4 linked regions of the Canis lupus familiaris genome follow. The protein of the gene in region 1 binds, or shares a complex with, the protein of each later gene. Links are inferred from orthologs where the notes say so. Each region holds a gene or a part of one and is shown in the gene's direction. Other genes may lie near its edges.

Region 1 (7,707 bases):
AGACAGGCAGGGGACTCTCTGGGTTCCTCACGGCCCTGCAAACTAACATAAATGCTGATGTTAATGCTGCTATTTTCTGCCAGTGCCTGGTTGTGTTCTTTGCAGGGCTCTGAGCCCTGCCATTTCAGAGTACGAGACTCCAGTTTCTGGAGTCACCTTCTGTAACTGAGTCGGAGAACTTCAGTTACAACAAATCCTAAGATGATGACCAAAGAAATAAAATGGCAGAATCAAATCAGGGGATAGGAAAGAGAAGAAAGTTAGTAGGCCTTGGGGAGGGGCCAAGTACAAAGGTGGGGGCAAAAGTGAAAATGACTCAAATTTTTATCTGAAGTCTTAGAAAATGTCTGTGGACTAGCTTGTCTTGCAGATACCTCATTTCAAATCTTCATTAACCACGTGTGCATGTCAACCAACTAAGCAATCTTTGACACCCATCTCAAAAAAGGGTGAGAGAGGAGACTTGTCAGCTGTGGCAGAGAACAAGGAAAGCATATACTGGCCCAACCTGATTTCCCTCCCCTAGATAGAAAGCAGTCTCAGGAGCTGAGTCTTCTTTTTTTTTTTTTTTTTTTTTTTCCTTCCTTCCTTCCTTCCTTCCTTCCTTCCTTCCTTCCTTCCTTCCTTCCTTCCTTCCTTCCTTCCTTCTTCATTCCTTCCTTCCTTCCAAGATTTTATTTACTTATTCATGAGAGACACAGAGACACAGGCAGAGGGAGAAGCAGGTTTCCGGCAGAGAGTCCAATGTAGGACTTGACTCCCGCACCCGGGATCACACCCTGAGCCAAAGGCAGACAACACGCAACAGCTGAGCCACCCAGGCATCCTCTGGATCTTCTTTTTCAAGACAGAAGTGCAAAGGTGAGTGACAGGCCTTTTTCAAGGAACTGTGATATAGTTCATTCTAGATCTCTTTTTTCAAGTGTGTGGTTGTTCTTACCTGGGAAGTTGGCTTGGCTCTGAAGGAATCCACTCAAGGAGCACACTATACATCAGAGCAGCACCTGCCTCCTGAGTAGACACCAAGTTTCATAGTGCTCCACTCCCCAGGTCCCCTCCTACCAATACCTGCCATCACGGCAAGATCTGATTTTCACTGGTGGCCTCAGAAGGGAGAGTGGCTTTTTTTCTTTCAGTGGCTCAAGTTCTTTCTCTTACTTTGAGTAGGGAAAAAAAGCACCACCAGCTTTATAGAGAGTTTTAGAAGGGAGATAAGAGTGATAGGAGTGAGTCCAGTTGATTTTTTTTCCACAAATTATTTCATGTTTGGTTTGCGGTTCAAGTAAGTAGGAACAATAAATTTAATGATGTCTTACTGGATCAAAATTGGACAAAATTGCTGTCACCCCCTGATGCTTGACATTACTGTGTTTTATTTTTTAGACAACAGCTTTATTTTTTATAATTTTCCCCTTTTGTTGGCAAAAGAGGAAAGTCTCCGACTGTTCTTTGTAAGCACCTCTTTGTATTTGTCAGTGGGGGAGGACTGTCCCAACTTCTGATTTATCTACTTATTTTTATTTATTTTTAATTTTTTTTTAAAAGATCTTATTTATTTATTCATGAGAGACACACACAGAGAGAGAGAGAGAGGCAGAGACACAGGCAGAGGGGGAGAAGCAGGCTCCACGCAGGGAGCCCGACACGGGACTCCATCCTGGGTCTCCAAGATCAGGCCCTGGGCTGAAGGCGGCGCTAAACCGCTGAGCCACCCGGGCTGCCCCAACTTCTGATTTAAAACAGAAAAATCCCATATCCTGGGCAACCCGTTTCTCAGTACTGGTGTTGCTGTCAGGGCCTCTTCCTGATAGATGCATTTGCAGGTTTGATGGGAGATTCCTGGTGATGTCAAGCACCTGGACCTGCCATAATGGTGGCCACTAGACAGGGGCTTACTGAGCCCTTGAAATGGGGCTAGTGCGAATGAATAAGGAACTGAATTTTAAACTTTTACATTTTAAAAATGGATACTTTTGGAAGAAAATAACTTGAATATGCGAATATCCTTTTCCCACTGTAAGCTTAATACACTCTAAGCACAGATTAGGTTATTTGCAAAGGAGATTTAGCTTCCAAGGAGAAATTTACGCCGAGGGGGAAAAACACACATCGCATCTTGAACTCAGGTACGAAGAAAAAAAAAAAAAAAAAAAAGGAATGGAAAAAAATCATTGACGTCATACTGAGGATTAAAACTTTGAAGATACCGCATCCAATAAAATACATTATGAAGATACATTTCAGCGGCTTCTTTGTACTTTCTCGGAGAGCGGCTACTGTAAAATTCTGAATTACACGTGGCTCGTGTCACGTCTAGTGGACACAGGGAAAGCCCCCAAACGGCGGCTCTTGCTTGCACGAGGGTGAGAATCTGGGGGGGGGGGGGGGGTCCGATTCCTTTGTGAGGATCTTCAGGCCCTCACAGCCCCCGTTGAGAACTGCTCAGCGCGGCTGCACAGCATCGCACGGCGACCGGGCTTCGTGCGTCCCTCGGGTCTTGCTTTCCTTGCAACACGGAGGAGCGGGAGAGCGCGCGGGCGGTCGGCGGGCGCGGCGGGGCGGGTGTAGCCGCGCCCCCGGGCCTGCGGCCGTCCGTCCGTCCGTCCGTCCGCTCTGCAGACGCGCCCCACGGCGGCTCCCGGGCGGGCGGCCGCCCTCGCCGCGCAAACCTGGGGCCGTCCCCGGAAGCCTTTCCGTTTCTCCCCGAGGAAGGCGCCTGACATCGCCTGGGCTCCGGCGCCTCCCCGACGGTGCGCTCCCGGCGCGCGGCACAGGACGCCGGTGGAGGGGGAGGCGGGGGGGCCCGGCGCCCGCAGCCCGACAGGCCGAGGCCGCGGCGGCCCCCGCACCCCGAGACGCCGGGCGCGCCGAGGCCGGACGCGGGCTCCACGCCCCTTCCGAGTCCCCGAGCGGGGCTGATGACGAACACAGGGCGCGACGGCGCACACGCCGCCCCGCGCTCGCACGACAGTGCGTGCAGGGAGCGCGAGGGAGCCCCGGGCCGTCAGCGGCGCGACCAGCGTTCCGCCTCCTCCGCTCCCTGCGCTCCCGCCACCTCGGCAGCTCGGCGCCCGCCTCCCGCCTCCGTCCGAGGCCTCCGCCGCAGCGAGGCTCCCGGCCTCGCTCCTGTCTCTTTAAATGGTGGGGCCAACGGGCCGCCCCTGCAGCTGCTGCCTGGGTGGCCCCGCGCGCCGCTATTGAGGGGCGAACCAAGATGGCGGCGGCTTTGGCTCCGTGAGGAAGACGGAAGAGGCGGCGGCAGCGGCGAGGGGAAAGGGACTTCCAGGAGGCAGGAGCGCTCGCGCGCCGGGGGGGCTCTCGCAGGCTCCGGCGCAGCGGTAGCAGTTGCAGCAGGAGGAGGTGCCCCTCGGCTTGGGACGTTTGAAGCCGGGGAGCGGAGCGCGGAGCCGCTGGCGGCCGCGGCAGGGCCAGGTAGAAGGAAGGAAAACATGGCGGCGGCGGCCTGAGGAGGCGGCGGCGGCGCGGGAAGCGGCTTCGCGGAGATCATGGCGGAGGCGGCGGCGGGGCAGTGAGCGGCGCCCCGAGGTCCTACCGCATCGGCCCGGGAGGCTGCGAAGCGCTGCGCGCCCCTCTCGGGGCGGCCGGGCTCCCCGCGCGCGGACAATAGCGCCCAGAAGTGGGAGTCGGAGGCGAGGAGCACCGGGGCCCAGAGCTCGGGCCGGGGAGCGGGCCATGCGGGCGGCCCCGCGGCCCCGCGGCGGCCAGCGGCGGCAGTGAGCCCGGGAGCGCCCCGCCTGCAGGCGTCCTCCCGCCGGCGCCGGCCCCCGTTCCTGGGCGACTGCAGCGGGGCCTGTGCCCCGGCCCGCGGGCGGCACGATGACCGACACCCGGCGGCGGGTGAAGGTCTACACGCTCAACGAGGACCGGCAGTGGGACGACCGGGGCACCGGGCATGTGTCGTCCGGCTACGTGGAGCGGCTGAAGGGCATGTCCCTGCTTGTCAGGGCCGAGAGCGACGGTAAGCGAGGCCCCTGGCGGCGGGACCCTCGCCGGCGCCGGCGGCCCCGGGCCACATCGCTGGGTGTTGGGGGCCAGAGGCTTCCCTGCGAGGTCGGAGGGGGCGGCCGCCGCCCCGGGGGAGGGCGGACCGCCGGCGCCCGGGTCCTCCCGGAGCTCGCTGCAGCGCGAGCGCCACCGCCACCGCCACCGCCAGCGCTCGGAGGGTCTCGTTTTCTTCCCCGCGCCCGGTAGCGTTTGGGCGACGAGGGGAGCCCGGCTCGTTGGAGCGGAGCCCCCCGGGCGTGTGCCGAGGGCGGGGGCCTAGATCGGCGGCCTGGACGGTGCCGTTCTGTTGCACCAGAGTGACCTTGAGAAAGGCACTGATTAATCCGATCTTCTGCCTTAGTTCACTCATCTGTGAAGCAGGCGTGAAACTTTCTGGGAGCGAAGAAAGTTCTTAGGTGTCACTCTTTGGAGAACGTTGTGCTTGCTGTGCCGCCACCCCCCCCCCCTCCCCCCGCACTCCCCCCTTTAAACTATTTTTCTGCTACATCTCTTTGATCCTGTTGCAGCAGGTTGGCAACTCCGGTTCATGGATGGCAGAGAAATGCTTCTTTGCCTCGAGAAAGAAGATGGATTTGTGTTACCTGGTGTTGTCTTTTTTTTTTTTCCCCCCCAGTAATGCAGAATTCTGTGTATAGTTTGTGTAGGCGTCTTGCAAGGGTGGAACCATTTTATTCGCGGGTTTTTTTTTTTTTTTTTTTTTTTGGACCGCTTAAATGTGTGATCACAATTTGGTTCAGTTAACAGGTGGGGAGAAGTTGGCAGATAAGTTTGAAACCTTTGGTATCTGCCATAGTGCTTGTGGTTCCCATTATTTTGAAACGGCCCTCAAGTTTCAGAGACCTAGTTTGAAAATGAGTGTTGCACATTTTTCAAGGTTCAGTGTTTGCCGCCTCCCTCTGTGACGTATTTCGGAGTTTCGCTTAAAATGTCCACATCAGGTGAAAGTATTTCCAAATTGTTACTTTTGAAGTGGAAAACCTGTCTTGTTACATTAGTCTGTAATTTCACTTTAGGCGCTTCAGTTTATTAGGATTGTAGTTGTTCTGTATCTGAATTATTGCAGCGGGTCTCAAGGAATTTTAATTGGACTTTCAACCCAGAACTCTCCGTTCCATGAAAAACAAACAAGACTCACCCCTCTGTGATTAAAGACTCTAGGGACATTGATTTTCAATTTGAATTGAAAAATTGTACTTTAGAGCTATATTGCCCACAGGTTAACTTCATAAGGCTGCTGAAAATAACTTAGAAATTATTTCCTTTAGAGGCGTTTAAAGGATTTTGAATACCTTGAGTTTATTTTTCTGAGGCCTATTTATTTGCCTCTTAAAAATACAAGTTTGAATGTGTTAGTGTGCTTTTGTGTCTCTCACATAGTCACCAGTTACTCTCACATATCCTCTTTTCCTTTGCCTGTTTGGAAAACTTTTTACATAATGAGTTGAAAAGCGTGGGCTTTGTAGGTTCAGTTAACTTCCAGATGAAAGTGTGTGTAGATGTGAGACCAATTCTTTGAAATTTCCTAACTTCAAAGAACATGTATAACTGTCACATCACATATTTAATTGGACTCATTCTATGAATGGATCCTTTGTTTAAAAAGTATTTTTAAGCATTACGTTTCAATGTCATACTATCCTGGGGAATCCTTGTCCACCTACTTGTGTTGGGATCTGTTTTTTTTCCCCATTTTTATTGTTACCACTTTGGAAAATAGCCCCTAAACTCGTTTCCTCCCTTGGGAATTTTTGGGAACCTGCAATGAAACAGGTTGAATGGCAAAAACAAAAAGGCCGTAAGTTTTATCTATTTTATTTATTTTTATTTTATTTATTTTTTATTGATAGAGAAAGAAAGCTGAAATAAACGTAACTGATTTGTCCTTGTTAATTTAAGATGTAAGGAAAACTAAATCAAAGGAGTGGGCTTAGAAGATTGCAGCATACTTACGAAATATTGTCAGAAATAATCTCGTTTGATGATTAGTACTGTCTTCTGACAGGAAAACTCTAAATAGGAATAATAAAAATTTATCCAGTCCCTACTATGTGCCAGAGACTCTACTTGTTATCTGCTGGTATAGGTACTATTATTAGCCATATTTTGCAGATGGGGAAACTGAGGCTCAGACAGCCTTTGACTTGAGACTATTATTATCATTAACTGTTTATAGCGTAAACTCCCTTACTGCTGTCTACTTGTGTTTGCTACTTTATACTTAAAAGCTCAAAGTTTATTTCAAAGAACATGAAAAGAATTTTTAGCCTAAAGATATTTAAAACTATAGTTTATCTCCAAGCTACATGGGAGTTTTTGTACAGATTGCTAGTTTCGGTCATCCATTATTGTATGCTTTTCCCATTCTCCATTATGGGATAATTGAGAATTTTCTTTTTATTGTGGTGAGCAAAGTGGAAAGTATTTCTGATTTTCCATAAAATGAGTCATTTATCTTGTTAGAGGTGCTTATACACTAAACTGAAAATCAGGAAGGCAATTTCTGAATGGAAGTACTTGTGGCCTCCTTGTTAACAGGGCACAGCTTTCTGAGTAAGTATGCCTTTCCCTTCTGAACTGAATGATTTGGCAAATCTGTAGCCCACTTTACTCTGGAGGAGAGAGAGGTCCTGCCAAGCTACTGAGCCCGCTCTCTAGGTTTTATCCTTGTTCAGTAGGTTCCTACTGGCAAAGGGTATTGTGGGAACATAGCCTTTTCTCCAATGAAGATAGATTACCGCATTTCTAAGGTTTTTGTCATAGCCAGGTACCAACAAAGTTCCATCTAACAAACAAACAAAAAATTTACTTTTTTTCTTCTTTCAGTTAATGCTATACCTTTTAAGTTGCATTAAGGGTAATAATGTAATCCCTAACTTGCCCTCTCACTTTATATTTAAATCAGTCTACTGCATTATGGTTTTTACTATTTCCACCTTCTAATTTTAGAATTGATAAAGACTTTGGAATTTCTCCACACACTGAAGGATGTCTATTTAACATGAAAAATCATATCCATGCTCTTTATTCTGGATTACTTGCCAAGCATCAAGAATAGTGTTCTTGGGGATCCCTGGGTGGCGCAGCGGTTTGGCGCCTGCCTTTGGCCCAGGGCGCAATCCTGGAGACCCGGGATCGAATCCCACGTCGGGCTCCCGGTGCATGGAGCCTGTTTCTCTCTCTGCCTGTGTCTCTGCCTCTCTCTCTCTGTGTGTGACTATCATAAGTAAATAAAAAAAAAAAAAAAAAAAGAATAGTGTTCTTATATTTTGATTTTTACCTTAAGTTGAATAAAGTAATTTTTATATTTCAAAATAGTTTTATCTATTATCTGAGTTACCTTTTTCGGAGTTTAAAAGGTTAAATTTTCAGTGTCATTTGAGGCACGAAGAAAATGAGACACGGGGAAATGTTTTTGTTCAAGTTAGCACTAGTAGCTAATGGTAAAAACCAGAATCTTGTACCTCTCTGCCTGTTGTAGAACTTGGTTGTAAGTAGTGCCTCACCTCCACTATAATTAGAAAAGGAGGTCAGAACACTTAAGGTGGAAAGCCTTTTTTGTTTTGTTTGGGCTGTTGTGGTGAAAGAAATGAACAGAGATAAGTATCAGCAATTTTTTTTTCTCATAAATTAGTAAGCGTTGTAGAATATTGCATACAGTAAGCATTCCAGATTTAGCTACTG
Region 2 (7,121 bases), about 930 kb from region 1:
TAAGTAAAAAAAAAAAAATAGGCCTACATTTCATGAGCTAACACTTCTACAAGTTAATTTCATTCATCAAAGCCTAGAGGACTAAGGTTACATTATATAGGCTTACATTATAGGTATAACAGTCTTAAGAAATGATTTTGACAACAATGACTCCCTTATTGGAGGACAGTGCATGAGTGTACCACATAGGAAATTTCACATAAAATTGAGCAGAATTGATGGATTATTTTACTCAGAAATGACCTATTTGAATGTCTTCTATGTGTCAGGGACTGTTTAAGGACTTAGGGATATAGGAGTGAATAAGACAGACTCCTGCTCTTAACAGAGCTTGTGTTCTGAAGGGGTGGTGGCAGGATAGATAATAAAACAGGGTCAGGGAATATATTAACAGCTGCTAGTAAGTGCTATGAAGTTTGATCTTAATTGTTTATCTCAGCCTGATGATTTAGTACTGCTGTACTTACAAAGCTAAGAAGACATAATTATGCCATATTTTTAACTTCACTTATCAAGAAAGAAATGATTTACAACATAGAGTATGAACAAAGTACTTGCAAGTCTAAGAGATTTGTTTTACCTTCTTTTACAAGACAGTGATTCCACACTTAAAAGGAGATACATGGTTATTATAGCATGTTTTCCATGATCAAAGAGGATACTTTATTCTGCTTCAATATTCTCTGGAGAAAAGAAAGATTTATATTTTCCATTCCATACTTAATGGCTAGAAGACTCATGCATTCATTCAGCAAAATTTATTGAGTGCTTACTATGTGCCAAGCACTATATCTAGGGTACCTAAAAGAGACAAAGGAAATATTATCCTGGAATCTGAAATTTCACTGGAGACAGACAGTAAGCCAACATATGTAGATAGTATGTCAGGGAAGAACAACAGTGAAGAACAGTAAAGCAGGGTAGAGAATGAGGAACGTGACAGTGGGTAGTAGGATGCTCTTGTGGAGAGAGAGTGGTCAGGAAGGAGTCCTCTCTGATCAAGTACACTTCATGCAGAGGTTTGAACCAAATAAAGGAGTTACCGTGTGGATGTCTGAAGGACAGGTGGCCTGGGCAAAGGGAATAGTGTGGTTGCGTGAGGAGCAAGGAAGCTGGTGTGGTGAGTGGCAGAGAGATGAGGCAGGGGGTGGTGGGGCCCGCAGCACAGTGCACTTTCAGGGCCTTGACATGGAATCAAGCTTGTATGCTCTGAAACATGGAAAATCTTTGGAAGGTTTTGAGTAATGATTTTTTTTCTACTTTTTCTACTTTTGTAAAGATACAGAAAGGCAGAGAAAATGATGAACCCCCATGTAGAACTCAGCTAGACTGAATAGTTATTAACATTTTGCCATATCCACTTTTTCTGTTTCATTGTGCTGAGGAATTTTAAATTCTAAGTATCATTATATTTTATCTCTGAACATTTCAGTGTTCGTCTCTAACAAAGGACATCCTCCTATATAATCACAATATAGCCATTGCATTTTACAAAGCAGACAATTATTCTTCAATGTTGTTTCATATCTCTGCAGTCCACATTGGCCCCCTAAGTATATTTTATAATTGTTTTATTCCATATAGGATCCAATGCATATCCATATAGGATCTACATTGCCTTTGGCTGTTACAACTCTTAATTGTCTTTTAATTCAGAACAGGCTCCCACTTCTCCCTTTTGCCACTTTTTCATGACATTGAATTGTGGAAGAGACTTTGTTGTCCTGTAGAATATTCTGTCAGAGTGCTGCTTCATGGTTCACCTATTCTCAATATTTCTTGTAAATGGGAAATTAGATCTAATAGAAAATTAACCTAAAGCTCACTGAATTTTAGGTTACACATTTTTGGTGAGAATACTTCTTGGACACCAATTTACATTTTATATTGCATCCTATCCAGACATGTGTTTCTCTGTCAGTGAGCTCAGAGTGTTTGTCCAGGTGGGGACAGCTTTATCAGTCTGGTGCAAAATTATGTTTTCTCTTGCAAGGTACACTGTACCCTGAAGCTGATGGTTGGAACACTCTGAACACCATTTTTCCATCAACCTTAACACTCATTAGGCAACCACTGGTGATCCTTCCTGAATCTGTTTTCATTAGAACTTGCAGGAGAGTGATTTTTAAAAATTCTATCACTTCTACATTTTTCATGACATTCTTCCATGAAGAGATATTCTTCTTTATCCATTTGGGTAATTTGATTACACTGAAATATATTTCCTCATGTAATCCTTAGTTTTTTCCTCCTGCTGTCAGTTTTTAGAGTTAGGAGCTGGTGCAGTAACCACTCCCAGTGGTGACAACTGAGTTTTGTTTTGGTTTTGTCTCCCTTTCAGGCTTATTCTCTAATATTAGATATTGTTTTAATCAAATGCAGTCATTGTTTGTGTACTCAGATTGTCACAATTTACTCAGGCAGGGCCTGACATGTTTTTGATACGATTACCTTCATCTTTGATTTCTGGCCCAAAAGATAGCTTATGTTATACTGTGAGGTAAAAAAAAAAAATTTTTTTCATGTGACTAGTATTGATGTGTTTGAAATTCTATTAGTATACACAAATTGAAGAAGAGAGTAACATGTTTTTATTCAGTTCATTTATCTAAAATTCATTTTTAAAATGCCAGTGATGCTTCTCTTTATGTACCTTTCTTAAATTTTCTGTTCTAATTCATAGGGAATACTCTCCTTTTACGTTTTTTTTTTTTTTTTTTTTTTTTTAAATTGAATAAGGAGGAACTTTATTTATATATTTGTGGCTCAAGGTGATCAGATGGTTTTTTTTTTTTTTTTTTATGATAGTCACACAGAGAGAAAGAGAGAGAGGCAGAGACACAGGCAGAGGGAGAAGCAGACTCCATGCACCGGGAGCCCGATGTGGGATTCGATCCCGGGTCTCCAGGATCACGCCCTGGACCAAAGGCAGGCGCCAAACCGCTGCGCCACCCAGGGATCCCTCCTTTTACGTTTAACACATCAAAAATACCACACAGAATAGTACTCTAGAGAAAAAGAGCTTGTATAAAACATGAGAGGAGGTAGTAGGCTACTCCCCGCAGTGTAGTAAGTTTTATTCTACTTGAATTTCAAGGATCCCCACTATAATACTCTGAATCTTTGAATATTAAATATGATGGTATTTATATGTAAGCCAAGGTGGTAAATACGAATTTTTTACTGGTTGAGAGATTTTTTTTCTAATATATAATTTGAACCCAGTAAAGATAGATAATTGAATTCATTTACAGTTGACAAATTCTGCCCAGTGATAAGATGGAAAGTCAGAAGACAAAGGATTATAGAACACTAGTCAGAGTCACTGACATGGTGTCCCTTGGATTCTAAATTTTATCTGTGATATAGGCCAGGGATCTCGATGAATGGTCGAAGAGGCAGAAGCAAGCGGAAGGATTGAAGGGTACACTTGATCATATGATTTCTAGATTTCAATTTAGAAGTGGCACATTTTTGGTGATTAGGTCTAAGGCAGGGCATGTTCTTGCAATATTTGTTGAATAAATGAATGACAAGGTCCAGGGAATGGCTAAGAGAATGGATGGCTGAGATGTTTTTGGGGAGAATGCCACTTAACGATGAAGTGGCAGAGAAAGGAGAGTCAACTAAAAATCAGATCTGGATGATTTGGAAATGACTGTGCCAAACTAAATTAACTTTGTAATGTGATGCATTAGTTGATCTGCCTGAGTGATATTCACACTGAATTAGGAAGACACTTCCTAGGTGATTTGAGAGGCAGACAAAATTGCTCTTACTTTTAGCCAAAACTGAAAATTGATCTGTGGAGCAAAACTATGCTATAAGATTAGTCTAATTGTCTTTCCTACCTGTTTCTTTAAGAATGTCTTACCTGTCCAAAAGGCAGCTTCACGAACTCTATGCATTTTTCTACGTTATAATCGTAAACAAGAACAGAGACATGAGGTCATTCAGAAGTTAATTGAACGTAAGTAATCATTGCCTTTTATTTGGAAAAGCAGAAAGTAAACTGGCCTTAGTTATCTTGGGCCGACATTATGTATCATTTTTCCGTGATGTTGATAAATATCTAGAGTGTGTATTTGAGTTTTGTAGGTTATTTATTTTTTTTTGCTTTAGAAATTTAAATGACAGGATCGGTCTGTGATTGAATGGGAGAAATATTTACTCTGGGCCTTCTTTAGTGAGTTTCTACACTTGAGAAATTAAAATAATGTATATATATATTTTTTTTAATTTATTTTTTATTGGTTTTCAATTTGCCAACAGATAGAATAACACCTAGTGCTCATCCCGTCAAGTGCCCCCCTCAGTGCCTGTCACCCAGTCACCCCCACCCCCCCGCCCTCCTCCCCTTCCACCACCCCTAGTTCATTTCCCAGAGGAGTCTCTCATGTTCTGTCTCCCTCCCTAATATTTCCCACTTGTTTTCTCTCCTTCCCCTTTATTCCCTTTCACTATTTTTTATATTCCCCAAATGAATGAGACCATATAATGTTTGTCCTTCTCCGATTGACTTATTTCACTCAGCATAATACCCTCCAGTTCCATCCATGTCGAAGCAAATGGTGGGTATTTGTCATTTCTAATGGCTGAGGAATATTCCATTGTATACATAGACCTCAACTTCTTTATCCATTCCTCTGTCGATGGACACCGAGGGTCCTTCCACAGTTTGGCTATTGTGGACATTGCTGCTATAAACATCGGGGTGCAGGTGTCCCGGTATTTCATTGCATCTGTATCTTTGGGGTAAATCCCTAGCAGTGCAATTGCTGGGTCGTAGGGCAGGTCTATTTTTAACTCTTTGAGGAACCTCCACACCGTTTCCCAGAGTGGCTGCACCAGTTCACATTCCCACCGACAGTGTAAGAGGGTTCCCTTTTCTCCGCATCCTCTCCAACATTTGTGGTCTCCTGCCTTGTTAATTTTCCCCATTCTCACTGGTGTGAGGTGGTATCTCATTGTGGTTTTGATTTGTATTTGTCACATATAATTTCATGCAGGAAAGATTAAACTTATCTTTTTTGTTGTTGTTTCTAGAACTGGGCCAAGGAAAAAGTTATTGGAATAGACTTCGATTTTTGGATACCTGTGAATTTATTATAGAGATCTTTTCCAAATCATTTTTCTGTAAATATTTCTTTCTACCTGCTATTGAACTGACACATGATCCGGTGGCAAATGTAAGGTATGCTACTAATCCAAAGAAATACTTGAAAATATTGTACATTTAACTTTATCTACTATAATTCATCTTCTGATCTACTATAATGTACTTACACTTTGAAATTCCTGGTAGTCTTAATTCATGAGCCTCAATAGGACTTGGAGGCATAATCTTTTTAAACAGTGCCTCATGTCTTTGATTTATTGGGTTAAGAGAGTAGTAGTCAAAGCCAGACTGGCAGGCTTCTCCTGCCACTTGGATAAATACATAACATTGGTGTCAGGAGAAGGTTGAGTAGATAGATATTCTTAATTTATGGATTTTCTGAGACTAAAGAAAATAACTTAAAGTTGGCTTGGCCAAGTTCTGTCCATTTTTAGAGGCAATCAGGATTGGATTTTGTTTCGTATTTTTAGTGTAAGAAAATACAGAAAATGCTACTGCATTGGCTTCAGTATTTTTACATCTATGTTGTTAATATTTTGCAAATTGAAGTTGTGACTCTAGAAAATCAGCTCCCGGTGTGATGAATTATCATTTATCAAGCAATTGACAAAGATTATTTGAAAGGAAATGAAATCATCTCTACTCTGGTCAATATGACTAAATGCATAGCATTGACCCTAAGAGATAGCAACCTGACAATTCAAAAACCAAATGAAGATTAATTGAACATTGCTCCATAAATATTGGTTATTTTTGGAGGGTAAGAGATCATTGCATAGCAATTTGTCTTGGTTTCAGTTTTCTTCTTTTTTTTTTTTTAAGATTTTATTTATTCATGAGAGACACAGAGAGAGAGGCAGAGACACAGGCAGAGGGAGAAGCAGGCTCCCCTCGGGAAGCCTAATGTGGGACTCAATCCTAGGACTCTGGGATCACGACCTGAGCCAAAGGCAGACACTCAACCTTTGAGCCACCCAAGTTTCAGTCTTCTACCTGGGCAGCTGCCAGCCAAACAAATGGATTCAGCAACACAGTATGCTAATTGGCTTTTGGATACAAAGCATTTGCCCAACTCTGTAGAGATGTTATTTAGAATGAAAGCCATCACAGGCAAGAGTGGTGGGATCATGCACTTAGTAGGAGGGTTTCTGGAGCTATACCACCTGGCCTGATTTCCAGCTATATACTAGCTGTGGTCTTTGGGCAAGTTACATAATCTCTCCGTGCACTAATTTCCTTAATTACCCAATTCATAGGGTGTTCTGAGGAATAAATACCTGAGATAATGTATATAACAAAGTTAGCTTACCAGAAAGATGTGATATCTAATCTTAAAATCTTTATAATCTCACGGGTCCAGGAATCTCACAGAGATAACTCACCGCTGTGGCTTCTTCTTCTGTACCTTCTGTTGAATATATGTTTTCTAGACCTACTTTGAGTTATGAAGAATGAAGTATGCATAATAGTCTGTTGTTTCTGTTTTTCCTTAAGTGAATGTTTAAAATTTGAATTCATTGATTATAGACAATATGAAGCCTGGAAAGACCATTGGTATTCCAAAGGAACCTTCCCCTTTGCCAGAAATGCAAAAAATTCTCTTTGGGGCAACTCGGGCCTCTTAATTTAAAGAAAGCATCACCAGGATCCGTGGTGAGCTCTGAGTGAGTTTAAGACCATTATTGCTATGAACAGAGCTGAAAATTCTGGAGGAAGAGCCTGTTTAGCCTTTTTGCTTGAATAAAAAGCCAATTTTTTTTTTTTTTTTTTTTTTTATATGAAGATTCCTCAACTGTGAGCTTAGCTGACAAAGTGTCCTGGAAACTCTGGGAGTGGAACTTGGTTGTCTCAAATTGGCATAAGGAGTAAAAAAAATAGTATTTGGAGAGCACTAAGATGAATGAATTGATACAGCAGCTAAAACATAGGCAACCACCTAGCATCCCTCTTTAAAGCCAGCCCTGGCAGAGTGGTAGGGTAGTAGCTTAGCAAAGCAGAGAAT
Region 3 (6,398 bases), on another chromosome or scaffold:
CCTTGGTCATTGCTACATTATGTATATTCATGCCTCTAGTTACTCCCTGCTGATAACGAATGTAAATAGTCTTAAACATGAAATCTGAAAGGCAAAATCTCACTGGTATTGGAGGTATTTTTTCCCGGGCATTGTTGCATCTACTCAAAGTAGCCAGGCGGATACGGTCAGTCTTCAGGTCTACCCAGATGTGATAGAAACAGTCACTAGAGGACCTCTCTGCTTCTCTTATCTCTAATAGGGGTGTCATTCCCTTAGGAGCTGCTCAGAGCTTGGACACACACACCTCAGGCTACCTAATACTACTTACTAGAACTTCTTATTTAGGAAACTGATTTGTAGAAGGAAGTTTCTCAGCATTCTGAACAGTTACATATGTCCATGTCCCAACTGAACATACTAGGAAGTGCTTTGCTCTGTCTCAGTCCCTGTGGACTTAGAATTCCACATTTGTTTTCCTTACATTTTGAGGGGAGGAGATACTTGAACTTGCATAGTGTTTAAAAACATTTCTAGAGACATACAGACTGGTGATGACTCTGTGCATGAGAGACCACATTGCTCACTAGTCTTTGCATGTGTTCATCTTACAAATAGTATCCAGTATTACAAATTATTCAGATGATTAACTTATTTTCATTTATTTATTTTAAAATTTTAATTATATTTTTATTTTTATAATTCATTTTTGTAGACAGCTGATTTTACTTCTAGAATTATATAGTCCCAGAGATGTTTATGACTATTTACGTCCCATTGCTCTGAATCTATGTGCAGATAAAGTTTCTTCTGTTCGTTGGATTTCCTACAAGTTGGTATGTGTTACAATTTTTTCAATTTTAGAACAGCACACTGTTTAATAAGATCCTGGAACAGAAAGTCTTCCTCATGTCTCTGCGCTCCCCCTCCTAGGTTAGTGAGATGGTGAAGAAGCTGCACATGGCAACGCCCCCCACGTTTGGAGTTGACCTCATCAATGAGCTCGTAGAAAACTTTGGTAGATGTCCCAAGTGGTCTGGCCGGCAAGCCTTTGTTTTTGTCTGCCAGGTAAGTGAAGACTTATGCGTGCGTGACACATTTTTCTATCTAAAACTATGTTTCTTCTTTCACTGTGCTTCCCAACACTCTCTTTCTGATCCTTAAGGAACACTTTTGCCATCTGGCTCTCCAGGGGATCACCTGTTCCCCAGTTGGTGTCTGCCTGGCTCATCCCACAGCCATCCACTAGGGGGCGCTCGGGGTCCATGGCATAGCCTGTGGCGTGTGTGTGTGTGTGTGTGTGTGTGTGTGTGTGTGTGTGTGTGTGTAAATGAGCATGACTGCACACTCCGGGACTCAGGAGAGCCATTAAAAACCTATTTGTCTGTGAGGACTTAAAATTATGTCCTCTTAGTTTGGGGTTCCCAAGCGCGTGGAATGATAGTTTAAAAAGAAGTAGCTGAAATCTGTAGTGCTTGGGCTGTTAACAAAAGAGAATGTTAGCCAGTATTCCAGGGTTTGGCGATTACCTTGGCAGATTAAAGGAACTGTTTGTCCTCCTAGACTGTCATCGAGGACGATTGCCTTCCCATGGACCAGTTCGCTCTGCATCTGATGCCGCATCTGCTAACCTTGGCAAATGATCGGGTTCCGAACGTTCGAGTGCTGCTTGCAAAGACGTTAAGACAAACTCTCCTGGAGAAAGGTGGGTAGGTGACTGTTAGGAAAACCGTGTGCTGCGGGGAGGAGGTACACGGACTGCACGGATGGAGACGTAGCTGAGCGGAAGCACTATATGTTCCTACGTGTTATCTGATGGGAGAAGACTTGAGTTGTCAAGTGGGGGCTCCCCCTGAGAGAGGGCACAGATTAGATGACAGGGACTTGTTCGCCTTCCTGCTCCAGGGGCATTTCTTCTATAATCAAGACAGTCATCATGAAGACTGCTAACTCTGGGAAACGAACTAAGGGTGGTAGAAGGGGAGGAGGGCGGGGGGTGGGAGTGAATGGGTGACGGGCACTGGGTGTTATTCTGTATGTTAGTAAATTGAACACCAATAAAAAATAAATAAATAAATAAATAAATAAAAAAAATCAAGACAGTCATTTGAAAGATTAGGTATTCTCTTAAGACAGGATGAGAAACTGCCGTCAGTCTGTCCCACGTGACCTGTGTTACTGTTGCTCAGGGCCAGGAGGCATGTTTGTGTTTCCTCCTCTTCACTCCTTAGGCAGAAGACAGATGCTTCCTGGTATTTGCTTTGCTGCCACATACTAATAAGCTGCTCAAGATTCAGCTGTGTTTTATTTATTGTCGGCGCCCCCCCCCCATATCTAACAAATAGCATTTAAATGCATGAACTCGTGAATGAAGCATAGAAACGTTTGTTAATAGGCTTCTAAGAATATGGGTAAATGAATACTGCTTTTCCCTCCTTTAGAATTCATTTAAATTGTTTTAATAGCAGTAAGGAAATAGCTAAAGAAAACTGGTTCTCAACCTGTGTGATTGGTACTTGGGGTGTTTGTACTGAATTAATACCTATCACAAGTATAAGTGTTAATATATTTATTAGCTTTGCTGCCATTTAGTCTGTTCTAAAAACAAGATAAATCATACAATTCTCTTAGGCTTGGGGATATTTTTCATATCACACCAATCAACTTGGATTACTATTTGTAATTCGACATAGCTTGTGTTTATACTTGGAGAAATTATGTTTATGACTAAGAACTTAGTATACTCATACTTGATAAAACTGAAATGTTAAACTCATTTTATTTGTAATCTGCATTTTGCATCTCCAGAATATTTCCTAACCTCTGCCAGCTGTCATCAGGAAGCCGTAGAACAGACCATCATGGCTCTTCAGATGGATCGTGACAGTGACGTCAAGTATTTTGCAAGCATCCACCCTGCCAGTACCAAAATCTCTGATGATGCCATGAGCACAGCTTCCTCAACCTACTAGAAGGCCGGAACCTCATCCTTCCGCTTCATAGGGAGCCAAGGGCTGACAAGTGCTCCACACATGCGATCTGGGCCAGCCTTGGGGAGGAGGAGAGACCTTCCTCGCTTGCAGATTAATTGCAGGTGCAAGTTGCCTACATTGATACCAGGGATTTTAAGAGTCAAGAGAAAGTACAGTAAACACTATTATCTTATCTTGACTTTAAGGGAAAATAATTTCTCAGAGGATTATAATTGTCACCGAAGCCTTAAATCCTTCCGTCTTCCTGACTGAATGAAACTTGAATTGGCAGAGCATTTTCCGTATGGAAGGGAGGAGATTCCCAGAGACCTGCATTGCTTTCTCCTGGTTTTATTTAATGCCAGATAGATGGAGTGGCAGCCAGAAGGTGGCTGCGAGCCAGGATGTGACCGAGACCTTCAGTATTAGCCCGCACTGTCCCCACGCAGGCAAGGACCTGTTGGTTCCGTGGCCAGCCGCCCAGCCCGGCCCTAAGTGTGAATAGTTGCCGACGTGTGTAAATGCGAAAGGAGATTGGGGGGTGGGTTTCTCCTAAGGGCTTGATGCTAACACTAAAGTAGAATCTGATTTTAACTCTTAAATGCAGCATATTGCTGTGCACATTTACAGAATGTTGGCTGAGTATCTATGTCCCGATTTTCTTCATGCTGGTCATGACCCGAAGGAGTGGATTGGCGCGTGCTGTATGTCAGGTGTTTTTAACTTGATCATGATCGGCTCTGAGGTGCAGCTTTACTTCCCACGTGTACATACCTGTGACCACTCTTGGGAGTGCTGCAGTCTAATCATGCTGTCTAAACTTGTGGCACAAGTTCTCTTGTCCGAATAAAATTTATTAATAAGATTATATAGAGAGATATATACACTTCTGATTGTTTTCTAGATGTCTGCAAATAAATGCAATTTGTGACCTGTATTAATGATTTAGTATGAAGTGGGAAAACTAGATTAAAATATTTGTCTTTTACCTAGTTTAGTAATTTGTTTGCCATCTGCATGTGCCACTTGGGGCCAGGTTCTGTTCCCAGCAGACAGTGGGGTGTCCGGAGTTCAGCCCAAGGCCCCGGACACATAGTCCTGCAGCTCTGAGTCCCCACGGCCTCTGCACAGTGGGAACGGGAAGCCATGCCCCATCTGTGGCCGAGCGGCCTTGCACAAGCTGGGACTGGGACGCTGCAGACTGCTGCATGGAGGTGGCGGTCGCTCTTCTGAGCCCAGCTTGAAGGACCCTTGGCCTGAGTCCCTGGGGTGCACCTGTGAGCTTTGCTTTCCATGACTCAGCCGGCAGGGTCCCCTCGAGCCTCGGGGTGCGGATTGGGGAACACGTAGGCCGTGTTGTGTACAGACTATCGCGACTATCGCAGGTGAGACCTGTGTCTCTGCCTCTTGCATTACAACCCTGCGAGCGGAAGTGTGAGCCAGTTGCCCTGGGATGGAGGAAGCGGGGGTGCACGGCGGTCTATGGAGGGGGTCGGGGGGGTTGGTGGGGCCTGGCCCAGAAGGGGGGCACAGATGGGAGGAGGGCGCAGCCCCAGAATTTCAGTTGTGTAAATGACGTGACCGTCCCACACGAAGCTGCGTTTTTTTTTTTTTTTTAAGGTTTTATTTGTTTATTCATGAGAGAGAGACAGAGAGAGGCAGAGACACAGGCAGAGGGAGAAGCAGGCTCCATGCAGGGAGCCTGATGTGGGACCTGATCCCGGAACCCTGGGATCAGGCCCTGGGCCGAAGGCGGTGCTCCACCCGAGCCCCCCTGGGCGTCCCGGTGCTGCGTGTTCTCGTAAGCGACAGCAGTAATAGTATATTCGGGATAAAGGACTTGAATTTAGGGCAAGCGTACAAAGGCAGCACAGGCCCCTTCCCCGCTGGCCCGGCCTCTCCGCGACCTCGCTGCTGCTCGGCGCTGCCCTTGGAGCCCTCCCGCGTGGTCGCGTCTGAAGAACCGCGGGCCGGGCCGCAGGAGGTGGGGGCTCCGCTCCACACTCAGCGCCATGTGGGCCGAGCCGGGCTGCTCCTGCCTCGGGGCGGGAGCGCCAGGGCTTCTAAGGGAGAGAAGTGGGCTTCCGGAGGCAGCACAGGACCCAGCAAAGGAGGAAAACTGACCGTCCCAGCAGATCTTTGAAACCCTCCAGGAGGTAGAAACTGCAAACCAGCTCAAACTAATTTCATAATCAGAAGAGGAATCAGGTGGTGAGTATGTCCTCATAGGGTTAATGCGGGGCGGCTAATCTTAGGAGATATTCTCTTCCAATCCATGAGCATGGAATATTTTTCCATCTCTTTGTGTCTTCCTCAAGTTCTTTCAAGAGTGTTCTGTAGTTTTTAGGGTATAGATCCTTTGCCTCTTTGGTTAGGTTTATTCCTAGGTATCTTATGCTTTTGGGTGCAATTGTAAATGGGATTGACTCCTTAATTTCTCTTTCTTCAGTCTCATTGTTAGTGTATAGAAATGCCACTGACTTCTGGGCATTGATTTTGTATCCTGCCACGCTACCAAATTGCTGTATGAGTTCTAGCAATCTTGGGGTGGAGGCTTTTGGGTTTTCTATGTAGAGTATCATGTCATCTGCAAAGAGGGAGAGTTTGACTTCTTCTTTGCCAATTCGAATGCCTTTAATGTCTTCTTGTTGTCTGATTGCTGAGGCTAGGACTTCCAGTACTATGTTGAATAGCAGTGGTGAGAGTGGACATCCCTGTCTTGTTCCTGATCTTAGGGGAAAGGCTCCCAGTGCTTCCCCATTGAGAATGATATTTGCTGTGGGCTTTTCGTAGATGGCTTTTAAGATGTTGAGGAATGTTCCCTCTATCCCTACACTCTGAAGAGTTTTGATCAGGAATGGATGCTGTATTTTGTCAAATGCTTTCTCTGCATCTATTGAGAGGATCATATGGTTCTTGTTTTTCCTCTTGCTGATATGATGAATCACATTGATTGTTTTACGAGTGTTGAACCAGCCTTGTGTCCCGGGGATAAATCGCACTTGGTCGTGGTGAATAATCCTCTTAATGTACTGTTGGATCCTATTGGCTAGTATCTTGTTGAGAATTGTTGCATCCATGTTCATCAGGGATATTGGTCTATAATTCTTCTTTTTGGTGGGGTGTTTGGTTTTGGAATTAAGGTGATGCTGGCTTCATAGAACGAGTTTGGAAGTACTCCATCTCTTTCTATCTTTCTGATCGTGAGTCTTAAGTGATGTCAACAAAGGTGAGGAGGAAAACGGTATTTTTCAAAAGCTGGAGCTTAGTCCCCCCGAGGGAAACTCGGAGGCCGCACTCCTGCCTCTGCCCTGCGTCCCCGGGGGAATCTCAGCTGCTCCCCCCTTGTCCGGGAGAAATTGTCTGCAGGCTTTGGTGCGTTTTCAGAGTGTCCCTTCACCCAGGCCCCAGGCCACCAGACCTCCTGTTGGCGGAGTGGAATGGCTC
Region 4 (7,815 bases), on another chromosome or scaffold:
GAAGCCGGAGTCTCTGTCATGGAGATCAGATCTTGGCTGATGGCTGTGGGGACCTAGAGGTTAGGAGGCCTCATGGCTACTCTGTCCCTCACCCCCACAGAATGGCATCGTGCCCATTGTGGAGCCTGAGATCCTCCCCGATGGGGACCATGACTTGAAGCGCTGTCAGTATGTAACTGAGAAGGTAAGTTGCCTGCCTGGCTGGGCAGTGTGGGGGCTAGGCAGCTGGGCCAACGCCTTTTGGGCTGACTCCTGCCCCCGCCCCCCAACTCCATCCCAATCCACTTTGACCCTGCTCTGCTCTAGGTGCTGGCTGCTGTCTACAAGGCTCTGAGTGACCACCACATCTACCTGGAAGGCACTTTGCTGAAGCCCAATATGGTAACCCCAGGCCATGCCTGCACCCATAAATATTCTCATGAGGAGATTGCCATGGCAACTGTCACAGCACTGCGCCGCACAGTACCCCCCGCTGTTACTGGTGAGACTCCACATCCTCATCTTGATCCCTGGAGGGTAGATGAACTGTAACCACAGCCCTTATGCTCATTTGGTCAGATTTCCAGGTCAGCTTCTAGAGGCTTCTGCTAATCCCCAGGTCTTTGATGATAACCACTTACCCTACTTTATTCTTTGTTCTACAGGGATCACCTTCCTATCAGGCGGCCAGAGTGAGGAGGAGGCATCCATCAACCTCAATGCCATCAACAAGTGCCCCCTGCTGAAGCCATGGGCCCTGACCTTCTCCTATGGCCGAGCCCTACAGGCTTCTGCCCTGAAGGCCTGGGGTGGAAAGAAGGAGAACCTGAAGGCTGCCCAGGAAGAGTATATCAAGCGAGCCCTGGTAAGGATGGGACCGGAAGTGGGCCGGGTGCCGGGGTGGATGGAATTCTGATGAGACCTCACTCTGGCTCCTCTCCCCTCTTAGGCCAACAGCCTCGCCTGTCAAGGAAAGTACACCCCAAGTGGTCAGGCCGGGGCTGCAGCCAGCGAGTCCCTCTTCATCTCTAACCACGCCTACTAAGCGGAGGTGTTCTAAGGCTGCCCCCTCAACACTCCAGCCCCCACCCTCTCCCACTCACTCTTGAAGAGAGGGCCTCACCTGGGGCTCCAGGCTGCTCTTTCCCATCACTTTGGCCTCCCATGTGACATTGGTGTGTGGTGTTGTCTGTATATGCTAACTCCGTTGCTCTTTCCAGCCCACTGCCAATAAACAACTATTTAAGGGGGAGTCTGCTGTCTGTGTCTGGTGTTCAGGTTAGGGGAGGGCCCAGGGAGGTGACAGAGCATAGAAGAGCCCTTGTTTTCTGTTTTTCCTTGCGAGGCAGGAAAAAATTGAACAGGTTGAGAGAGAACCTTCCTGTTTTATGCCGAGGGCTTCAAGAAGAGATCTTGTGACATTTTCTTCCAACCATCAAGGGCTTTGCCCCCTTCTACCAGCAGTACCCAATAAGGCTCATAGTTGGGGACTACATGTGTAACTGTTAGGCTCAGCCTCACTTTGATTTTTTTATTTTTAAAAGATTTTATTCGTCAGAGATCCACAGAGAGAGGCAGAGACAGGCAAAAGGAGAAGCAGGCTCCCTGCTGGGAGCCTGATGTAGGACTCGATCCCAGGACCCTGGGATCATGCCCTGAGCCAAAGGGAGATGCCCAACCACTGAGCCATCTAGGTGCTCCCACTCAGCCTCCCTTATAGACTGAGAATTCAGGTGTAGGAGGCCCCTGGCACAAAAAGTCACTGACAAAAGCTAACATTTCCCGAGTGCTATGAGCCAGATGACACAATCTATATGAGCATGTGCTATTCCCAACTCCTGCTTAAGTGCCATACTGCTTGAGATAGCACTTTCTGGATGAAGACAAGATTATTAATGCACATGTCCTTAATCTACATGGTTGAGCTGTCTGTTTTCCCGACTTAACAGGAGATGGGATTATAACTGGCTTCTTAATCTTCTTTGGGCTGGGGAACCCCTTGACGAACATGGAATCCCTTTTTAACAGCCACCTCAACAACAGAACTGTGGCCCTCAGGTTCCAGGTTAAGCACTAAGTCAATGCAGCAGCGATATTCCATGAAGCCAGAAGGAAGGCCTTGCTCTTACCCCTCTGCCATGCCCTGAGCCCTTACCCAGTCACCCAGGCTAGGGCAAAGTAGTAGCTGCATCAGAGCTTCTGAGCTGTTGAAGATCCTAGTCATAACCAGGGACCTCATGACTCCTGCCATTTCCTGAATTTTTGATAAGGGGCCCTTTCCTGCCTGAGCTTCCCTCCAGAAAAAAAAAAAATCTTGACTTGTCATCTCTGGGCCTACTGTATCCCTATAGTGCTGTGCAGGGCCTTCTAGGAGTTTAAGGACTTGGTCCTTTCCTCCAGTTCACATTTGCATCTGTTGACTACATACAGAACCAAACCTACTCTTAGTGTTTCTCTCAACTTTGGCCTTACTTCTGTGCCTAACCTCACTGTGAAATAAAGTCTGAAGTAAAGCAAGTAAAAATGGAAGGTCAACAGAAGATAGCAAAAAGGACGCTTCAAAAGGGAGCAGCCCGTGCAAAGGCCCATACAGGGCAAAGTACGCTTACAGACCATTTCCTCAAATGACAGTTTGAGGGTTTCGGAGCTTTTCTAGTAACAGTGAATTCCAGAACCGAGTCTAAGCAATAGGTGGATGAGAAACAAGAACTGATTTTTTTTTTTTTTTTTTTTTAAAGAACTGATTCCGTACAAAAAGAAATACAACTGCAGACACTATAAAGCAACTGAGGGTTGTCAGGGGCCGTTCTGGAATCGGGAGGTCATGTTGCCTGAGGCATACGCCAAGTGTGAGCAAGGTGGCCTCGTTTCTGCCTCTAACTTCAGAGGTCCTCTGTGGCAGACATTTCTCCGGGCCGTGGAGAGGGATCTGGACGGGATTCCTCCAGCCTCTGAACACCCGCTGAGGCGCCTTCTGTGCCAGGCACGGGCTGAAAGCGTGACCCTCGGGGACTGTACTGGGGGAGGCCGACCCAAACAGGTATCTCGAGGCGCGGCTCAGCTTGCGTCTCACTGAGACGGCCACGCGGAGGGGACTGAGCTGTCCACCGGCACCGCGGTCACCGCGGCTGCCGAGCCGCCGACATCCGGTTCCTTCGCTCATTTCCATTCTTAGGCTCGAGAGGCGGAGCTAGGGGCGCGGCGCGGGAAGGGGAGGGTGTGTATGACGCCACATCCGGCGCGCGGCGGAACTGATCCTCCTTCGCTTCCGCGGCGGGGCCGGAAGTAGAAGCGGCGGTGGCGGCGGCCCAAAGCCGAGGGAAGGAGGAAGGCAGGGAGCCCGGGAGCGGGAGCCGGAGTCGCGGCGGCGGTAATAGTCTGAGACTCCTCTAGGCCACCGTCCCGAGCGCGGGACCACGGGGTTCGACGGGAGTTAGCTGGGAGCAGCCAGGGCCGTGGGACTTCGGGGGTCCAGGGGCTGAGGGGAGGGGAGGCGGGGGTGGGGGGGCCGGGCCCGCTCCAGGATCGAGTTGCCTCCCCACCTCCACCCCCGGCGCCCCCTACAAACAGTCTGATCCCCGGGCTCGCCCTCGCCTTTCTCAGGAGACCCCTGTGCGGTGCGGAGGGGGCGGCGGCCCCGGCTCTGACCCGCGCCGGGGGGTGGGCCATGGCGGAGATCAGCGACCTGGACCGGCAGATCGAGCAACTGCGGCGCTGCGAGCTCATCAAAGAGAGCGAAGTCAAGGCCCTGTGCGCTAAGGCCAGGTGAGCCGGGTGGCCCCGCTGACCCGGGGTTCCGGACTGGGGCAGACCCAGCCGAGAACTTGGGGCCTGGCTCATCCTGGAATCTTTCCCAGAGAGGAGCAGAATAGGGCCACTTCCCTCGAGGAGCAACCAGCCCGTTGGGAGAAGACAGACCTGGAGAAAGACACTTAAAGTATTAGGTGATGTGTTTTCAGTGGCGTCAGAGAATTATAAAAAGTCCTAAGGAGGCTCAAGGAGACAGTCCTACTTGTCGGGGGAACAGAGTTTCTGGGAGGAACCGAACTTTGGGGATAGGCCTTGAAAATTAAGATGATAAAAGGGAGCGTTGACAAAAACAGAAGTTCAAGGCAGTTCAAGGCTAAAGGCTCTATGGTTTGTAGACTTCTTATTAATCCCAAGAACAACCCCTAAAGGTGGGTGGTATTGTCCCCATTTTGCAGCCGAGGACTCTTCTATTCAGAGTCAGCCAGCAAGTAAGGGATGGAGTCCGAAGCCAGTGCTCCATATCCTGTCTCTTTTCAGGCCTTAACGCAAGATGGTGGAATTGGATCTCCTCATGTTCAGTGTGAAATAGTAGCAAATAAGTCAGAATGAAATTAAACCTGACATGAAGGGAGGCCTGTGGGAAGTAGGGTCATGTAGTGGTTAACAGCTCAGGCTTTGGAATGTGATGGTTCTGGGTGGGAATGTGAGCGTTGCCACTTACTGGCCCTGTTGGTGATCTTGAGGTCTCTGGCAGTTTCTTTATTTGTAAAGTGGGAATAATAGTATTTAAGAAGATGATGGTGAAGAGGCAGTAAGTTGGTGCCTCGGACTAGCTTAGCATAGTGCTGTGGTACAATGTAAGTGTTCAGCAGTCTTTAGGTGTTACGTTACTACCGTGTAGGAAGGGGGCATTGCCAGTAAGGACCGAAGTCACCAGGGAAGGCTTCTAGGAGAAGGTGGTCTTGGAAGATGAAAATAATTTGGGTAGCTAATGGAAGCAGAGCCAGGGACCAAGGATATTCCCAGGAGGATGAGAGCAGGAGTGGAAGCTCTGGGATGTATGGGCACCAGTGAGGAGACCACTTACCGGCCTCCCCTGAGGTACTGTTTGTGGCTTGTACCACGCTGGAGATTGTGGGGAAAGAGCCAGCACAATGACCCTACATTCCTTGAACAACAGGCGTTGTACTGGCAAGGAACTTCTCTCTTTTCCGTACAGGAGTCTTGTGAGATGGAAGCTGTTTGCTCCCTTTAACATGACTCCTTAGGGACCTAGTGACTTGACTGAGGTCACCCAGAAAGAAAGTAGCAGAGCTAGGTCCCGGCCTTGTGGCTCTAGGCCTCTTGCCTGGCTTTACCTCAGACAGACCCATAGTGGCCAGACTGGGCCTGTTTGGGAAACAGGCAAGGCCTCTTAAATGCTTGTCTGCGACTCTTTTGTGTTCTGGCAGTGAAAGAAAGTTTTCCTGACTGGACCAGCCCCAAGGTGTTTTTAGTCACCGCTGTTCCCTCAGTCTTGACAGCATTTTTAGGAACTTAAACCAACTGTTGCTTGGCACTGTTCTTTTTCCTGTAAGACTCATCTTGCCCAGAGGGCCTGAATTCATTTGGTGGTGATGATAGCTAGTGCTCGCATAGCATGGTGGGGTTTTCAGAATGACACACAGGTTATGTATCCAGTCTCACCTGCTCTTGGCAGCAGCCCTATAGAGCGGGCAGGTTGGAGAGAGTGTTTCACAGAAGAGGAAACTGAGCCTCAGAAGACATAATGCCTTGCCTGTAGCCCCATAGCTGGTAGGAAGAGAGGTTCACTTTGTTTGGATCCAGGTCTTTTACTATACTGCCTGTAAACTGATAGCCAACCAGTCAGCAAGGCAGTGGGGAGCTATAGAGGATTGAGGGGTCGGGGAGTCTTGCCCAGCTGAAACTGAGAAGAGCTTGGGAGGTACTGGGCTGAGACCTAAGTTGGCCAGTATTATCCAGGGTCTGTTCTGAAGGGAGAACAACTTGTGCACCTGGCCGTGGCCTCCTGGAGACCCACAAGGGGCCGAGGCCCAGGCCAGTAGCATCTTGGAACCTCAGCTTGCCCCCAGGGTACATAGATGTAAATTCTTGGAACTAGAGAGGCCTGAAGTATGTGAACCAAACTTGGTCGTCTTTGAAATACCAGTGTAGGGGTGCCTGGCCGACTCAGTCGGTAGAGCATGCAACTTCTGATCTCGGGGTTGTGAGTTTGAGCCCTACATCGGGTGTAGAAATTACTTTAAAAAATACTTACATAGGGGAAGCCCCAGTGGCGCAGCGGTTTAGCGCCACCTGCAGCCCAGGGCGTGATCCAGAAGACCCTGGATCGAGTCCCACGTCAGGCTCTCTGTATGATGCCTGCTTCTCCCTCTGCCTGTGTCTCTGCCTCTCTCTCTGTCTCTATGAATAAATAAATAAATAAAATCTTTAAAAAAATACATATATAATGTATATCACTATGGTAAAAGAGCAGAGGGTTTGAATTGGGTGGTCTTCATCGTGAATCCCAGCTTTGTCCCCTAAAAATGGTGTGACCCTGGTCAAGTCACTGTACCTCTCCAAGTCTTTGAAGTCATTATGGAGCTCAGATGAGATTCTACATATGTAGGGACAGGGACTGGCATTTGTTGTGGAAGTAAAGGTGGGTAAGTGTGAGCTCTGAGAGGGCGGGTGATGTGCTGTGAGTGACAGAGCTGGGGTCGGAGGCTGGTTCTCTTTCCCCCACCTCGCCGGGTCCTGCCCCTTTTTTCTCTGAGCTTCAGTTTCTGTGTCAGATGAGGATGAGAAGAACCCCCCTGAGTCATTTGAAAATGTCTTCACAAGCAGTTGATGTGGAAGGATGCTGGACCCATGATGTAGTCCAGCGGCGGGGAGGGCTTGGTGGCCAGTTGGCCTCCCAGACCCCTGCCGGGACGCCCTCCCATTCCCAGAAAGCCAAGCAACCACACTTCCCTCAAGCTGCTTTTGTCTGAGAGAGTGCCCTCAGGGACATAGGTAAAATCACGGGTTCTCTGAGCTCAGGGAGCTCCTAGTCTCCTAGGAGGAGGCTGGCGGAAAAAGGTAGGCAGGTGCCTGGGGCCCTCCAAAACCAGAGCAGCTTGATAAAAGTGCCAGATCCTGGAGCCAGGCTGCTTGGTTCAAGTCCCACCTGTAGGACTGTAGCCAGTTTATTCATCCGAACAGTGGGTGTCATCACGATGCCTGCTTTGGGGATGGTTCTTTGATTGTGTCGTCGATGCAGAGCTCTTACTGCAGTCCTGCGGCATATCAGCTAGAGTGGTCACTGCTGCTGTCATCAAGGTAGAAATCTGGAAGTGTGGCTCCTCTCCAGTTGACTGTAACTGACAAAGTGATTTTATGTCATGTGCTGGCAAGTAGTAGTAGACTCCACTGCAGGGAGAAATGAAAGAACAACGTTGTCACTCCCTTTAAGTAAGGAAAAACACAGCACATCACTTTGATGGTGTGTCTGATGACTGGGTACCTTGGGATGGTCTGTGCAAGGCCTCTGATGAGCAGAGAGAGACCGTAAGCTAAGTGGAGGACACAGTCTCAGAGTACTCGAGGCTGAGGAAGCAGCGTGAGCAGAGGTCTCTGTGCGGAGAGGAGGTCTGTTTTCTGAATGAGCACCGGTTGTGTGAAAGAGGGCAGCAGGGAGGGTTAGGACTCAGAAGGCTGCTGCCTCCTTGGAAAAACTTTGAATGCAGTTAAGAGTTTGGGCTCTGGCCAATTGGCCTCTGGGAGGCCTGGCCAGGCCTGGTCAACCCACCCTGGGGATATTGCACACCTCACTCCTGCCCCCTAGAGGTTACCTCATATCCTCCCCTGGAAAAGATCAGGAATTGGGCTGGCCTGGCCTGGCCTGGCCTGGCCGTGGTGACCCTGGTCTTCTCCTGTCTCCAGAGAGATCTTGGTAGAGGAGAGCAACGTACAGAGGGTGGACTCGCCAGTCACAGTGAGTACCTGTCCTTCCGGAGCCTAGCTTCGTCTTAGGCACACGGGCATACCCCCTAATCTTACGGGCTGCAGAGGGCTACCCCCATCCCTGAGAGCCCAGGGGCC

What was found.
Region 2: PPP4R3A (region 1) and PPP4R4 share a complex: the UniProt entries of both Homo sapiens proteins name them as parts of the PP4 complex. The link is inferred for Canis lupus familiaris from reciprocal best matches to the Homo sapiens genes PPP4R3A and PPP4R4.
Region 3: PPP4R3A (region 1) and PPP4R1 share a complex: the UniProt entries of both Homo sapiens proteins name them as parts of the PP4 complex. The link is inferred for Canis lupus familiaris from reciprocal best matches to the Homo sapiens genes PPP4R3A and PPP4R1.
Region 4: PPP4R3A (region 1) and PPP4C share a complex: the UniProt entries of both Homo sapiens proteins name them as parts of the PP4 complex. The link is inferred for Canis lupus familiaris from reciprocal best matches to the Homo sapiens genes PPP4R3A and PPP4C.

The regions. Positions count from the first base shown.
Region 1 is NC_049229.1:62,671,166-62,678,872, reverse strand, and holds the start of PPP4R3A (serine/threonine-protein phosphatase 4 regulatory subunit 3A), read left to right. Parts: upstream 1-3,763; 5' UTR 3,764-3,837; coding exon 3,838-3,979; intron 3,980-7,707. UniProt on the Homo sapiens protein: Regulatory subunit of serine/threonine-protein phosphatase 4. May regulate the activity of PPP4C at centrosomal microtubule organizing centers.
Region 2 is NC_049229.1:63,602,686-63,609,806, forward strand, and holds part of PPP4R4 (serine/threonine-protein phosphatase 4 regulatory subunit 4), read left to right. Parts: intron 1-3,864; coding exon 3,865-3,970; intron 3,971-5,046; coding exon 5,047-5,194; intron 5,195-7,121. UniProt on the Homo sapiens protein: Putative regulatory subunit of serine/threonine-protein phosphatase 4.
Region 3 is NC_049228.1:75,606,278-75,612,675, reverse strand, and holds the end of PPP4R1 (serine/threonine-protein phosphatase 4 regulatory subunit 1), read left to right. Parts: intron 1-694; coding exon 695-815; intron 816-912; coding exon 913-1,047; intron 1,048-1,542; coding exon 1,543-1,684; intron 1,685-2,787; coding exon 2,788-2,951; 3' UTR 2,952-3,939; downstream 3,940-6,398. UniProt on the Homo sapiens protein: Regulatory subunit of serine/threonine-protein phosphatase 4. May play a role in regulation of cell division in renal glomeruli. The PPP4C-PPP4R1 PP4 complex may play a role in dephosphorylation and regulation of HDAC3.
Region 4 is NC_049227.1:18,247,738-18,255,552, forward strand, and holds the start of PPP4C (serine/threonine-protein phosphatase 4 catalytic subunit), read left to right. Parts: upstream 1-3,195; 5' UTR 3,196-3,349; intron 3,350-3,582; 5' UTR 3,583-3,646; coding exon 3,647-3,744; intron 3,745-3,836; exon of another isoform or gene 3,837-3,923; intron 3,924-7,656; coding exon 7,657-7,708; intron 7,709-7,815. Other genes in the region: ALDOA (fructose-bisphosphate aldolase A), read left to right, coding at 101-184, 307-481, 645-844, 929-1,024. UniProt on the Homo sapiens protein: Protein phosphatase that is involved in many processes such as microtubule organization at centrosomes, maturation of spliceosomal snRNPs, apoptosis, DNA repair, tumor necrosis factor (TNF)-alpha signaling, activation of c-Jun N-terminal kinase MAPK8, regulation of histone acetylation, DNA damage checkpoint signaling, NF-kappa-B activation and cell migration.